3 linked regions of the Saccharomyces cerevisiae S288C genome follow. The gene in region 3 interacts genetically with the main gene of each other region. Each region holds a gene or a part of one and is shown on either strand. Other genes may lie near its edges.

Evidence for each region.
Region 1: mutations in CDC9 (region 3) and CST6 together harm fitness less than expected from each alone (positive genetic interaction), as found in Saccharomyces cerevisiae (2 studies listed by BioGRID).
Region 2: mutations in CDC9 (region 3) and UBP10 impair growth when combined (synthetic growth defect), as found in Saccharomyces cerevisiae (one study listed by BioGRID).

What each region holds. Positions count from the first base shown.
Region 1 is NC_001141.2:283,918-287,929, forward strand, and holds CST6 (Cst6p), read left to right. Parts: upstream 1-1,748; coding exon 1,749-3,512; downstream 3,513-4,012. Other genes in the region: pheromone-regulated protein PRM2, read right to left, coding at 1-1,082; casein kinase 2 catalytic subunit CKA1, read right to left, coding at 3,873-4,012. UniProt on the Saccharomyces cerevisiae protein: Transcriptional activator of promoters containing ATF/CREB sites. Can independently stimulate transcription through ATF/CREB sites. Important for a variety of biological functions including growth on non-optimal carbon sources.
Region 2 is NC_001146.8:287,977-292,376, reverse strand, and holds UBP10 (ubiquitin-specific protease UBP10), read right to left. Parts: upstream 2,880-4,400; coding exon 501-2,879; downstream 1-500. Other genes in the region: mitochondrial 54S ribosomal protein uL11m MRPL19, read left to right, coding at 1-184; SWT21 (Swt21p), read right to left, coding at 3,310-4,383. UniProt on the Saccharomyces cerevisiae protein: Deubiquitinating enzyme involved in telomere and HM loci silencing, which is the repression of chromatin structure which leads to a stop in the transcription of nearby genes.
Region 3 is NC_001136.10:164,487-169,912, forward strand, and holds CDC9 (DNA ligase (ATP) CDC9), read right to left. Parts: upstream 2,769-5,426; coding exon 501-2,768; downstream 1-500. Other genes in the region: CCR4-NOT core subunit CDC36, read left to right, coding at 1-379; ENT1 (epsin), read left to right, coding at 3,228-4,592; MHF2 (Mhf2p), read right to left, coding at 4,880-5,122. UniProt on the Saccharomyces cerevisiae protein: DNA ligase that seals nicks in double-stranded DNA during DNA replication, DNA recombination and DNA repair. The mitochondrial form is required for mitochondrial DNA maintenance but is non-essential while the nuclear form is essential for cell viability.

The DNA.
Region 1 (4,012 bases), on a different chromosome or scaffold from region 3:
TGTCCTGTCAGGCCATTAATTTGGGACATAACCAGGTTTACTTGCTGATTTTCCAGCTGAAACAGAATTCTTTCGATTGCCATGAGCAAAATCACAAATGCAAAGTACATGACTGTGAAAATTATTGTCATTCTCTTACATTTACGGAAAACGTGATTTTTTACTGCACTTAGTACACTGTTTTCCTCGCTATTTGTTTTCAGAGACCGTTTAATTATTGAAGTAGACGATGTAACCTCGGTACTCCCCCCAGATAAAATGGAAATTTCATTCTGTAAGTTTGCAGTAAAGTTCCTTTTCAACTGAAGCCAGTCAGTGGAATTTCGTAGAAAATTCAAACTTAAGGTACTAGAGGTATCTAATTGAGTAGAAAAGTCAGTGATAGTGCCATTGAAGTTCTGCAATGATTTCAATTTCCTTGAGTAGTTCCCAAAAATACTGTCAAACATGGAGTAATTTAACAGTAGGTTTGATGCCATTTGTGAAATGGAATCCTTATCAATGGTCATTGCGTCTTCTGATATTTCATTCCATGTGTCATTTATCAGCTGTGATTTAGTGAGTAGTTCGTTAAAAATTGTATTGTTTACCTCAAGAACTTCCTTAATCAATTCAGTTTCCAAACTTATTTGGTCGTTGATAAGTTTTTGTTTATTATCCAGTATGTCGTCTGTGTATGACTTGAATTTTTCTTGCATATCCGTACCTACCGTAGATTCAATACTCCGTAGTTTGCTTTCGAAATACTGATCAATTGTATTATCAATGAATGTTTTATTTAAAGAGTAACTGTTGGCAGAATATATGGCATGCTGTGTTGTGACTGCTGTCATTGTGGCCGTTGTTGTGGCCGTTGTTGTGGCTGTCGCTGTAGCAGTTGAAATAGATGCAAAGGTTGAGACGGTATCATTTCGTTTGACCTGTGCGTGAGACATTTTTGCCATTGTAATGTCAATGACTGAAAAGGAACCCCAAATAGTTAAAATAACAGAAGTAAAGAATATCAGTAATAGAGGATGGAAAATACAACTAAAAAACCTCTGTGGAAGTGATAAAGGTTTAATTATGTGTACATTGTTCATCTTTGCCGTACTCTTAGTTTTATCGAAAAGTGGTGTAGATTTTCAGCTACTTAAGCCATGTTAGTGTTCTAGTTTTTTGCTTTACATGTTATATAAAGGGCCAAGATAGCATATGTAAATGTTTTATTACTGGGCTGAAACATTTTTAAAACATTTTTCAATAATGTGCTGTTATAACCGTACAAGGACGGTTATAATTCTGAATTAAAATGCTGCACCGAATGAAAATACCAATGTTCTTCCAAACCTATTGGCGAAAATTAAGATAAGCTGTCGCCTCTATAATCAAGAATAATCTCAACTATTATAAATATTATTCCCAGAAGTTGAAATTGTGACACATTTGAGTAATATCACCTTACACGGAACATAGTTGCCCCCTTCTCCGAAATTGCTGACAATGATAATCGGGGATTCAATGACAATGACAATGAAGGCAAAAGATTTTCATATTGTACTCTTGTTTTTTGAGTTATCACTTTCAAGTACCTTCTTGTTAACAGAAATAGAACCGCTATAGAGGTTATCGTGTATACGTATCTGTTGGTGTTTCTAAATCAAAAACTCGCTTTTAAAGCAGTCTTTCAATTGGAAGATTCAAAAGGATCTAAAAAGATCTAAAGTAGTAAAGAAAAAAGTATAAGCCCACACCTTTTTGGTAGGATAATGTTTACTGGTCAGGAGTATCATTCCGTAGACTCTAATTCCAACAAGCAAAAAGACAACAATAAACGTGGTATTGATGACACATCAAAGATCTTGAATAATAAGATACCGCACTCTGTTAGTGATACTTCTGCCGCCGCCACCACCACTTCTACTATGAACAATTCTGCTTTAAGTAGATCCTTAGATCCTACTGACATAAACTATAGCACAAATATGGCTGGTGTGGTTGACCAAATACATGATTATACTACTTCCAATAGAAATTCTTTAACCCCACAATATTCTATTGCAGCTGGAAACGTCAATTCGCATGATCGGGTTGTTAAACCCAGCGCCAATTCAAACTATCAGCAGGCTGCATACCTTCGACAACAGCAACAGCAGGATCAGCGACAACAGTCACCCTCTATGAAAACTGAAGAGGAATCCCAACTCTACGGTGATATTCTGATGAATTCTGGTGTCGTACAGGATATGCATCAGAATCTGGCCACTCATACAAATCTGAGCCAACTGTCGTCTACCCGTAAGTCCGCTCCGAATGATTCTACTACAGCCCCGACTAATGCGTCCAACATCGCCAATACGGCTTCTGTGAACAAGCAGATGTATTTCATGAACATGAATATGAATAACAACCCACATGCCTTGAACGATCCATCCATCCTGGAAACATTGTCGCCATTTTTTCAACCTTTTGGTGTTGATGTAGCACATTTACCTATGACGAATCCACCAATTTTCCAAAGTTCTTTGCCTGGATGCGATGAGCCAATTAGAAGAAGAAGAATATCAATCTCTAACGGTCAAATAAGCCAGCTAGGCGAAGATATTGAAACTTTGGAAAACCTGCACAACACACAGCCGCCCCCGATGCCCAATTTTCACAATTATAATGGTCTGAGCCAAACTAGGAATGTATCAAACAAGCCGGTCTTCAACCAAGCAGTGCCGGTTAGTAGTATTCCACAATACAATGCAAAAAAAGTTATTAATCCCACGAAGGACTCCGCATTGGGTGATCAGAGCGTTATTTACTCGAAAAGTCAGCAGCGAAATTTTGTAAACGCGCCATCAAAGAATACTCCAGCGGAGAGTATAAGTGATTTGGAAGGCATGACGACGTTTGCGCCAACTACTGGAGGTGAAAATAGGGGCAAATCTGCACTTAGGGAATCTCACTCTAATCCTAGCTTCACTCCAAAATCTCAAGGATCTCATTTAAATTTAGCGGCGAACACACAGGGAAATCCAATCCCTGGTACTACGGCATGGAAGAGAGCAAGATTGTTAGAAAGAAATCGAATTGCAGCTTCGAAATGTAGACAAAGGAAAAAGGTTGCGCAGCTGCAGCTCCAAAAGGAATTTAACGAAATTAAAGACGAGAATAGAATTTTACTGAAAAAGTTAAATTACTATGAAAAACTAATCTCTAAATTCAAGAAATTCTCCAAAATTCATTTACGTGAACATGAAAAACTAAATAAAGACTCAGATAATAATGTTAATGGCACTAATAGTAGCAACAAAAATGAAAGCATGACTGTGGATTCATTAAAGATCATTGAAGAACTTTTAATGATCGATTCAGACGTTACAGAAGTGGATAAAGATACTGGTAAGATCATAGCCATCAAGCACGAGCCATACTCTCAACGTTTCGGAAGCGATACTGACGATGACGATATAGATCTCAAGCCCGTAGAAGGTGGTAAGGATCCAGACAACCAATCATTACCCAATTCTGAAAAGATAAAATAACAAAGTTTTGGTGAGCACAACGGTGTTTCATTCAAGAATGATAAGGACAACTATATATGTAATATACGTGTATAAATACTCGAGCTGCATCCTTTCTTTTCTGCCGTTATTATTTCGTTTAGTTACTACATTTATGGTATAAATTACCTTTAAGACATTATTATTTTGCATGTATGAAATTTGCTCGTGTCAACCCCTTAGTCCTCCTTGCCTCTGTTGTATGGAGGAAGCCCTTTAAACCTGTATTTAGTTTTTTAAATCTATTAGAATTAAGTACAATTGTACAGATGGTAAAAAAAAGTAATCGTTATATCGTTTGTCAGTGATTTTTTTTTTTTTATTTCATTCATTATTTATTTCTTATTTTTCAATTTGTTCCCTTATTGGGGCAAACCACGGGTGTCCCATCGCTTCCTTAGCAGTTAATCTTTCTTGATGATCATATCTCAAAAGATTGTCAATAAGGTCAATAATTTCATCGTTGCCGCTTAAATGTTTAT
Region 2 (4,400 bases), on a different chromosome or scaffold from region 3:
AATGTTAGGCAGTGCACCTGCCAAGGGACCAACCCGTGCTTTAGGAGAGTTATCGCTGAAGCACGTTTACGAAATAGCCAAGATAAAAAAGAGTGATGAAAGGCATAGTTTATTGGAGATGGAAGGTATTGTTAAATCAATAGTTGGCGTTGCAAAAAGTATGGGTATTAAGGTTGTACCTTGATCTGTAAGTAGTGAAAAGACAAAAAAGTACCGTCAATTTCGAGAAATTTTCAACAGACCTTCCTTCTTCTTTCTACTGATCTATTCTGTAAATATGTATATAAGTTTTAAATTCTCTTTCTCCCGTTATGTTAGCAAAGCTCGGTAGTACTGAAGCTATTCTGAGTAAACGCTTCTCCAACTCTGTATACTGAGAGTTGTTTTATAAGTCAATAAAGACCGGATATTTATATGTATATATTGATTTGGTATAATAAAAATGAAATGCTAATAAAAATGCCTATGAAAAGAGGAAAATCCAGGAATATCGAGTTTTTTCATTTGGTGAACTTCCTTTTTTTATTTTTTTTCCATTTTTTTCTGTTATTTTTCTTGCTATTAATCTTCAATGGGCGGTTATTTGGTTCGTTAACAGCCTGTTCCTGTTTGGATTTAGAGGTAACATTACCAGTGGCCATGGCAGATTTCGCCAATGGCAATGGAACCGATTTTGGAGTTAGCCTCGTGTATAGGAGATAATATGCGTTGGGTTCCTTTAAAACGTCCCTTTCAGATATTATATTAATATACTCGTCGTCGTAAGTGGCCCAGCTACCGTCTGGTTGCTTGCAGTGGGCAATGTAGTGACCTGAAGAAAGGGAGCGGCCCTCATGAACCACCACGCTTAATAGTTGGTATTTGACAGGTAGCTCTTTACTCTCACAATATTCCGTCAAATCTAAAAACATAGGATAAGAAACAGCTTGCTTCATTTTTGATGAGGACGTGCCATTGAATCTGAATTTTTTCAGATGCACAAGTAAAGTTTCAGGAGCCCTTAATATTGAACTATGCTTCACGGCGTTCGTGGTCTTGTGACACTTCTCACAAACGTAACCCTTTTGCTCCTTGTCAACCTTGATTAATTCGGGATTGAAGAAATCTTTAATTGATTTTTCAATAGAAAATCTGCGGTTGGCTGAACTTAAATCACTGGCAGCGGCAAATGGTGAGCCATTGTTTAAATTGACAGATGAAGAGGATGAAAGAGATGGTTTTGTGGCAGCATTGGAGGTAGTGGTAGAAGTGGTGGCTGAAGTGCCGTTAATGCTATCACTCGACAGGTCAGAATTTGGATCAAGTTTTTTCTTCCCTTTCAAGTGCAACGATAAATCGTAAAATGGTTGTTCTGTTTTAGATATACTGCCACAAGATTTGCAAGTAACGATCTGCTTTAAAAGACCACCGAATATGTCATATATTATCGATTCTATAAGTTTATGACCCTTGGGAACAGAATCTTCCTGTAATCTTGACATCAGAGACATGAAGTACTCATGTGAATCTTCCTGCTGCCATTCGCTCATCATACAATTAATGTCATCCAATCTGGAAATCAAATGTTTTGGATTAATGTAGGAAGCTGAAACGTTCTTTCTAGGGTTTTTTGAGACCGGTAACCACATTTTTTTACTTGTTTCAGCTAAAGTATAGGAAACGGAATTTTTTGAGATGGTGCTATCGTATTTCCCCATTAGTATATCAAAAAGATAATGTTGTATCGAAGGAATGTGTAACATAGCCTGTACAGCAGCATTTGTGTAACAAGTAACACCATGATTCAAAAGGCCACGAGGCTTCAAATTGGTGAATTTGTCGCCCCAATTTTTAACAATTCTAGTAGAGTTTAAAGAACCACGATCATTGATATTTTCATTGAATTGGTAAAAGTTTGATAGATTTGATATTGTAACCGGAGGGGTGATTGACCTAGATTTATGTTTCAGCTCTTCTTCCTCTTCTTCCTCCTCCTCTCCCTTTGGATTCCTGTTTCCATTTTCTTTGGTGTTGTTTACTGGTTCGTACCGATTTACTTCCACTGTACTATTTTCCATTAAATCTTGATATAAACTCTTTTTTTCGCCTTCAGAAATTTTGGAGCTGGAATCGTTCTCCTCTTCTTCAGGGAGCTCTTTTTCCATAGCACTAGAATCATAATCCATGTCATCCTCATCCTCGTCGTCTTCTATTTCGTCATCACTGCTAATGCTTGTAGACAGTTCCTTTCTTTTTTCCTTTTCATTCTCATTAGATGAATCATCAATGGTTGCTAATGGAGAACCCAAGTTTTCACCAATGTCTTCACCAATGTCTTCACCGATGTCTTCACCGATGTCTTCACCGATGTCTTCGCCGATGTCTTCACCATCGCCCTTATCTGCGTTGTCGCGTTCCTTCAAACTAGCTTTTCGGGGTTCTACATAGTCTCTTGCCTCATGAAATATTTCACCCTCTTCCTCTTCCTCTTTTCCTACTTTGTCATCTTCCGAAGAAGAGGAAGGAGGCTCCGTAGAAAGCTCCGTAGAAAGCTCCGCTGACTTCTTGGCACCAGTAGCATCTGCAGCATCTTTATCATTTTTAGAAGTATACAACAATAAAGCTTCAGCCATAGATTTAGGAACAGTGTTGGTTTTCTTTCCGTTTGGCCTGTCTATCAAGTTATTTTCTTTTATTTGCTTGGATTCGGCCGTTGCAGCAATAGCTGTGCTATTACTATTGTTATTATGCTGTTTTCCTATCACAATATACGAGCTATTTTCCGGCGCGGCGGAAGTATCATTATTATTCGATTTGTTAGAGATCATTGCAGCATTGAACTGCAGGGGATTTGATAGGATTCTATCTACCAAAGGTTTGATCGATTCTTGAGTGGTCATAGTCTGTGATTGTGATATGACAATAGGACGGATTTACAGATACTATGAGTTGTAGATTCTTTCCGTTAGTTTTTCTATGAAATATTATGTGCAGTACAGAACAAAAGAGGCTTCAGACACTATGCATGCTCCTGTGTGCAGTATATGATGCTTAATAGCTTCTATGAAACAAATAAAGGACAGAAGCGGGGATGGAAGACTCTGTTAATGCTTTACAGGGAAGTTTTTCCCGATGGTGGCACTATATAAAAATAAGAACTTTTTTCTTTTCTTTTGGGGATTTTTTTCGATGCGAAAAAAATTTTTTGACGGCATGAGGCAAGAAGTGAACAAAAGAGGTGGTGTCTGGGGGATGCAATTTAACTTCTTACTTGTGCGCGTTCATCGGAGAAAGCTGGCCGGGTGATACACGAATACGGGTTTGCCGTTTTTAGCCGCCGAACCTGCATAATGAAATTGTGCCCCCATGAGATAGGGCGAACAGTTCGGGATCCCCAGGACAATTCTTCACTACCGTGGCAGGAATAGTAGAATCAAGGTTAGTGCGCCACTCTGACTCTGGCGGGATAGACGTGATTAGTGGGTCTTCAACACTATTGTGTGAGGGAACACCTCCAAATTCCACAAGGTCTCGACCCCAGTTCAATATTGTTCCCTGCGGCGTCCCCATACTTAGTCCGTAAGCCGTATCTATATATGCCTTCAACTTTGCAGAGTTGTGGTGGATCCGAAACGGTAGGCGCAATACGTTAAGCTCGTGCTGCAGGTTTCGCCGATCGTAAATACTAATCGCGTCACTGTTGCGTCTGACAACGTACACGTAACGCCCGTTATCGCTTGTAAGGATTTGTACAATCCCACCTGCAACTGTGCGGGTGTAGTTCAGTCTCTCTAGTCGTTGATGACGGCAGTCTACCTGAAACATTTCATTCGCATAACTGCCACACAATAGAGATCCTCTTGAGAGAGCTTGCCCTCCCATTGGTTGCTCTTCAAAGCAAGATATAATGCTTTGTCTTCCCTTGCTTGCTTTTTTGGTACTCTGGTTCATCCACACGGCATCTCGTCTGCTCTTGTCGTATATCGCCACTTTGTTACGGCATGAGCCAGTGTATACACGAGACTCAACATCGATTTTCACACTGTATACAGTTTCGTATTCTCCATTTATTTTGTTCATCGTGTCATAGCTGAGGATACACTGCCCGTCCATCAAAGAGTATAGTTGTAGAGGGAAGTTTTTTCCTCCAACCACGATTCTGTCACCAGCTAACCTGTCGGAATTCTCGTTATAAAGCGTGTAAAACGGGTCTATTGCACATGAAACAATAGACTGGTTTCTAAAAAACCTTGTAAATGGTAGAAGGAGGTTTCTGTTTAGCTTGTCCGTATTACTTTCCTCCGGCACTAAATATTGTCTGATGCCAAAATCATTATGCACAGAAACAAACGATGTACCATCACATGACCAAAAGATATCTTGACATATTACCTTCTTTTCCATTCTGAAGTCGTCTGTCA
Region 3 (5,426 bases):
CGAAGTGGAGCCCCGATTTTTCACACCAGAATCATTCACCAATATTCCGGGCGTATTACAATCCACTGTAACTCCACCATGCTTCAATTCCATCCAAAATGACCAACAGCGTGTTGCCCTTTTTCAAGATGAAACTCTATTTTTCCTCTTCTATAAACACCCTGGTACAGTCATCCAGGAACTAACGTATTTGGAACTCAGGAAAAGGAACTGGAGATACCACAAGACGTTGAAGGCCTGGCTCACCAAAGATCCTATGATGGAACCTATTGTATCCGCTGATGGTTTAAGTGAAAGGGGATCATATGTGTTTTTTGACCCACAAAGGTGGGAAAAGTGCCAAAGAGATTTCTTATTGTTTTATAATGCTATTATGTAAGGTAGACAGAGAAACGAAAGAAGTAAATAAATGTCATTATATGTGATGCGGCGTTTTGGAGCTGAACAGAACGCCCTCTTTTTTTTTTTTAATGATTAATTGAGAAAAATAGTGTGCACATCTAATTTTGCATGTGGGATTGGTTTTCATACAATTCGACGATCTGGTCAGAAGAGGTTGCATCTTCTACGCCCTTGTCTTCTCTTATACGCAAAAATCTTGGAAATCTTAAGGATACGCCTTTATCAAAAGTTGCACTACCTGCTTTATAAATAGGCGATAGGGAAAGGTCTGCAGTCAAAACTTCAAACAAAGTCGTAGGTTCGAACCATACATCTGGCTCAGCACTCGAATCGAAAACAAACGTGGCTTTTGGTCCATCAATGATCGTCGGGGTCAACCTGTCGTGCAAAAGCTGCAACATTTCGTCCGAAAATCCTGTCCCTATCTTGCAACAAGTTTCAAATTCTCCTGTGTCTTGGTTGTAACATCCTAGAAGGAACCCACCGTACGTACCAGTTCTTTTTCCTCTACCATAATATGCCCCCAACACGCAGAGATCCAATGAATCTCCAACCCCCTCCAAGTAATCTTTTTTTAATTTCAACCAGTTTCTTGACCTTTTACTTGGTTCATAATGGGATTCAGGGCCCTCCAACATTTTGACCATCAAACCTTCGCATGAGTGATTAACGGACTCATCAAGGAATTTTTGAAGTTCATCAAGGTTATTTGTTGTTATCTGAGTCGCGTATTGGAATTCTCCCGGGACAACTTTTGTAACCTTCGTCAAGTATTCTCTTCTTTCCTTTAGTGACTTATTAATCAGCCTTTCATCGTTGTAGCAAAGTATATCAAATGCAAAGAGACAGACTTTAACTTTAACATCATTCAGCTCCACGTCTTTACGTTTCCTTGTACTTAAGACCTGGAAAGGCAAAATTTTCCCCTGATCTTTGTCCCAAGCAACAGCCTCACAGTCTAGAATTAAATTTTTGGTAGTATCCAAATCCTGGATAAAATCCGTTATGTTAATTTCTGGATATCTCTCAGTCATATTCTCGCCATTTCTGGAATAAATCCTCATTGTACCATCATTTAGTAAATGCACCTGAGCCCTTTCACCATCGTATTTGTATTCTGACGTAAAAGTTTCGCCTTGAAATCTATCCAATACTTCATTAATTGCCTTGGTAGGCTTGGCTAACATGGGTTTCAATGGAATTCCTGGTCTTAGAGTACAATATTTATCTAAATTCATAATACCGTGTTCCAGGCATGAGTTTATAACAATTTCATAGTTGGGTACTTGACAAAATGCGTCTCTTATCTTTTGTTGAGCACTTTCTAACACATCCATGGGGACATCTTTGTCTGGAGAGTCCTCCCTATTTTCATCATGGAGCAAAAGAGCCTTCGATAGGGATATTAAGACAGTCTTTTCAGCAAGACCGATTCTCAATTTTGACTCTAGGGATCTAATCAAAAACTTAGCCTCTATACCTTTGCAAGCAGTAAGCATTCTCTTGATCAGCTTCATCTTTTTTAATTGTGAATCTTTGCCCTGAGTCTTAGCAATAGCTCTAAGATTTTTGAAGACCTCACCCACGGTCAAGGGTTTGGGCTTAAACATAGTGGGTTGGACATTTCTCGCACCCATTGCTATTTCACCCAAATCCCCAATATCCTTGTATTTAAGTTTAATTTGGCTCATGGATTTCCCGCAAGTTTCGCTTATGGTTTTCATAAGAAGATTTTCTCCAAGGCCTAATTCCAAGCCTGCTTCGTAGTCAGGGCCCAATCTATTGATGAAAAGGTATGTTGTAGGTATTAAGTTCTTAGACGATTGCTTCATTATCTTAATAAAGAAATCAGAACAGATTCTTATAATCTCTAAACGGGAAGATATGGCCTCAATCTTGTTAAAAACCTCACAAACTTCAGAATAGGGGATATTAGACGAATAGTGATCATTATTATTTGAGCTCAAGGCGTCTTCAACTTCACCTACCAACCTCTGAGATTGTTGCGGTGAATCAGCAACACCGGAAGAGGGAGCGGATGATGGTATAGAAGAAAAATTGCTACCCATGGAGCTTGGAGCTGCTACAGTATGTGTAACAGCCGTCTGTTTCAATTTCTTGGTCGCGTATTCCTCTTCCCCACTAACATTATCCATTCTATCTTCCAGCATATGTTTGGATGATTTTTTGGGAGAAGGAGTACCTTCTGTTGGCTTATTTTTCATGGAAGTGAAGAATCTAGCCAAAGTGGCTTGTTTAGGCTTCTTACCGGCAGAGGAAGGTAATGAGGATGACATCAATAATGGCAATCTTGATTTCAAGGGACGTGCAGATGAAAGAAGGCAACCGGTCAGTAATCTGCGCATGTAATTGATGAACAATGACGTTAAAAGCTGCTCTAAACCTCCAAAATCATTACTTTTATTTTTGAACAAAGTACAGCGAGATGCAAACGCATGGCTTATTGCAGCTAAATTTCACTTTCACGCGTTTTCGCGTTAAGGTGAAAAATTCCATCAGCCATCTCAAGTGGAGGAACACATCGAAGCGAGCAAAAAGATGACAGAGTTAAACAGCAATAGAACCAGCGGCTGCAGTACGAATTCCTATTGCAAGTCTTACGGAAGGTTGGTGGGGCCTTATGTTGTTCAAAGTACTTGATTTTGGAAGTATGGTTGTCTGAAATTGTGGCTACGTATAGAGAATCATCCGGGTAATGATGAAAGTTTCTTTCAATGACAAATAGGAGTTTTAAGAAGTAGAAGAAAGAGCCGTTCGTATGAGTGCCAGGATCAGAAGGAAAGGGAGCAAGAGGCAGAACAATCATGTCGAAACAATTTGTTAGATCTGCGAAGAATTTGGTGAAAGGGTACTCTTCTACCCAGGTCCTGGTAAGAAATGCAACGTCAAACGACAATCATCAAGTGTCCAAGGACTCGTTAATTGAGCTGGCTGAAAAATCATATGATAGCGCAGATTTCTTCGAAATCATGGATATGCTGGACAAAAGACTTAACGACAAGGGCAAATACTGGAGGCATATCGCAAAGGCATTGACAGTAATAGATTACTTGATCAGGTTTGGTAGTGAGAATTGTGTTCTTTGGTGTAGAGAAAATTTATACATCATCAAGACATTGAAGGAGTTCAGGCACGAGGACGATGAGGGCATAGATCAAGGTCAAATCGTTAGGGTCAAAGCAAAAGAATTGACTGCATTACTATCTGATGACGAAAGACTGAACGAGGAAAGGAACATGAATATCAAGGGAAGAAACAGGAAAGGAAGAAGAAGAAGGGGAACTGGGCGCAGTGATGAAAATGACGATGATTTGCAAAGAGCCATTAGTGCTAGCAGGTTGACGGCGGAAGAAGACGAAAGAAGAAGAAAACAGGACGAGGATTATGAAACAGCTTTGCAGTTGAGCAAAGAAGAAGAGGAGCTAAAAAGATTGCAAGATTTACAAAGAATGCAACAACAGCAAGGCCAACAACAATTGCAACAACCTATGTATTATGATATTTTTGGTAACCCAATCACTCCTGAGGAATACGCACAATTTCAATTGCAACAACAGCAACAACAGCAACAACAACAGTTGCAACAACAACCAATGTACTACGATGTATTCGGGAATCCTATAACACCCGAAGAACTAGCACAGTTTCAACAACAACAACAACTACAGGAACAACAGTACTTAGCTTCTATGCAACAGCAGCAACAGGCAATGTCCAACAATCCATTTGCCAAATCAGAACAGAGCTCAAGTTCACCAAAACGGAACCAACTAGTAGCAGCTTCTTCTCCACAGCAACTGCAACAACAAAAACAACAAGAGCCATTGATTCAAAACAGGACAGGCAATCAATCAATGACAGACAAGTATAGTAAACTAAACGAGCTACTAGCCACAGGAACAGGTATTGATACATTCGGAAATGTAGGGGAGGCTCGTATTCCTGCCCAACATACGAAGACAGGAACATTCATCAATTCTCAAGGAACAGGATATAGGCAAGTATCGGATGATCCAAACCACAATCCGTTTTTGAACAGTCAGTATACAGGTTTACCAAGCACTAGCGTCGTACCAACACAAACAGGCTATGGCTTTGGTAACCAGTCTCAACAGCAGTCTCAAAATAATGGCTCAAATAACCGGGGATATACTCTAATTGATTTATGAAGTGATTCTGTCATTCCAGTCCGCATTTCTAATCAGATGAGCATTTTCTCGCATCGCATAATATATATGGACTAAGTAATTTAATCATTTCACAGCGCGTTTTGATGCAAGCGTTTAGTATAAAATGAACTGTATATTTGTATATGTGAGCGCACGATCGCTCCAAAAACTACTTTAGTAAACTAACGTAGTTCAGGACGACTGAAAGAAAATATAGTGCTTTAAATTTATCAGACAACCAGGAATGTCTTATGTCTTTACATGGATGTAATGTAAGTTGAATACTTTTACATATCCATCAGAAGAAGCCCTACGATACGCTCTAAATCTTGATGCGATAACTCTAAGGGACTTTTATCGCCACGTTCTCCGTTAATGTCCTTGTGAGATTGCAAGGACCGCAGCACCGCCTCATCAATGAATATATCCAAATATTTCTGTATCATTGGTACTACTTCATCGGCAATTTTCATATCATTACCACCTTCATTTTGGCTGAGGATTTTTATTAACGCTTCTTTAGATAACATCACCACAATTACTGTGCTCTGTACTCATGTCCTTTCTAAGTGCAATAATGTAAATTCTAACACGCTTTTATGTATGATTGATTTTTGATATTTTGGCCCGAAAGATAATTCTGGTCTCCCGGAAACATGAAGATGCAGCAAAGTAAAAAATAATAGGTAAAAATAATAAAAATACATGTATCTTTTTGGTTGGTTAATTTATCTAAACAGTTTTATATATATATGTATATATATATATATATATACACAGTATTAATATTCTTTCCTTGAGATTACTCTCTATAAAAAAAAAAAAAAAAAAGCT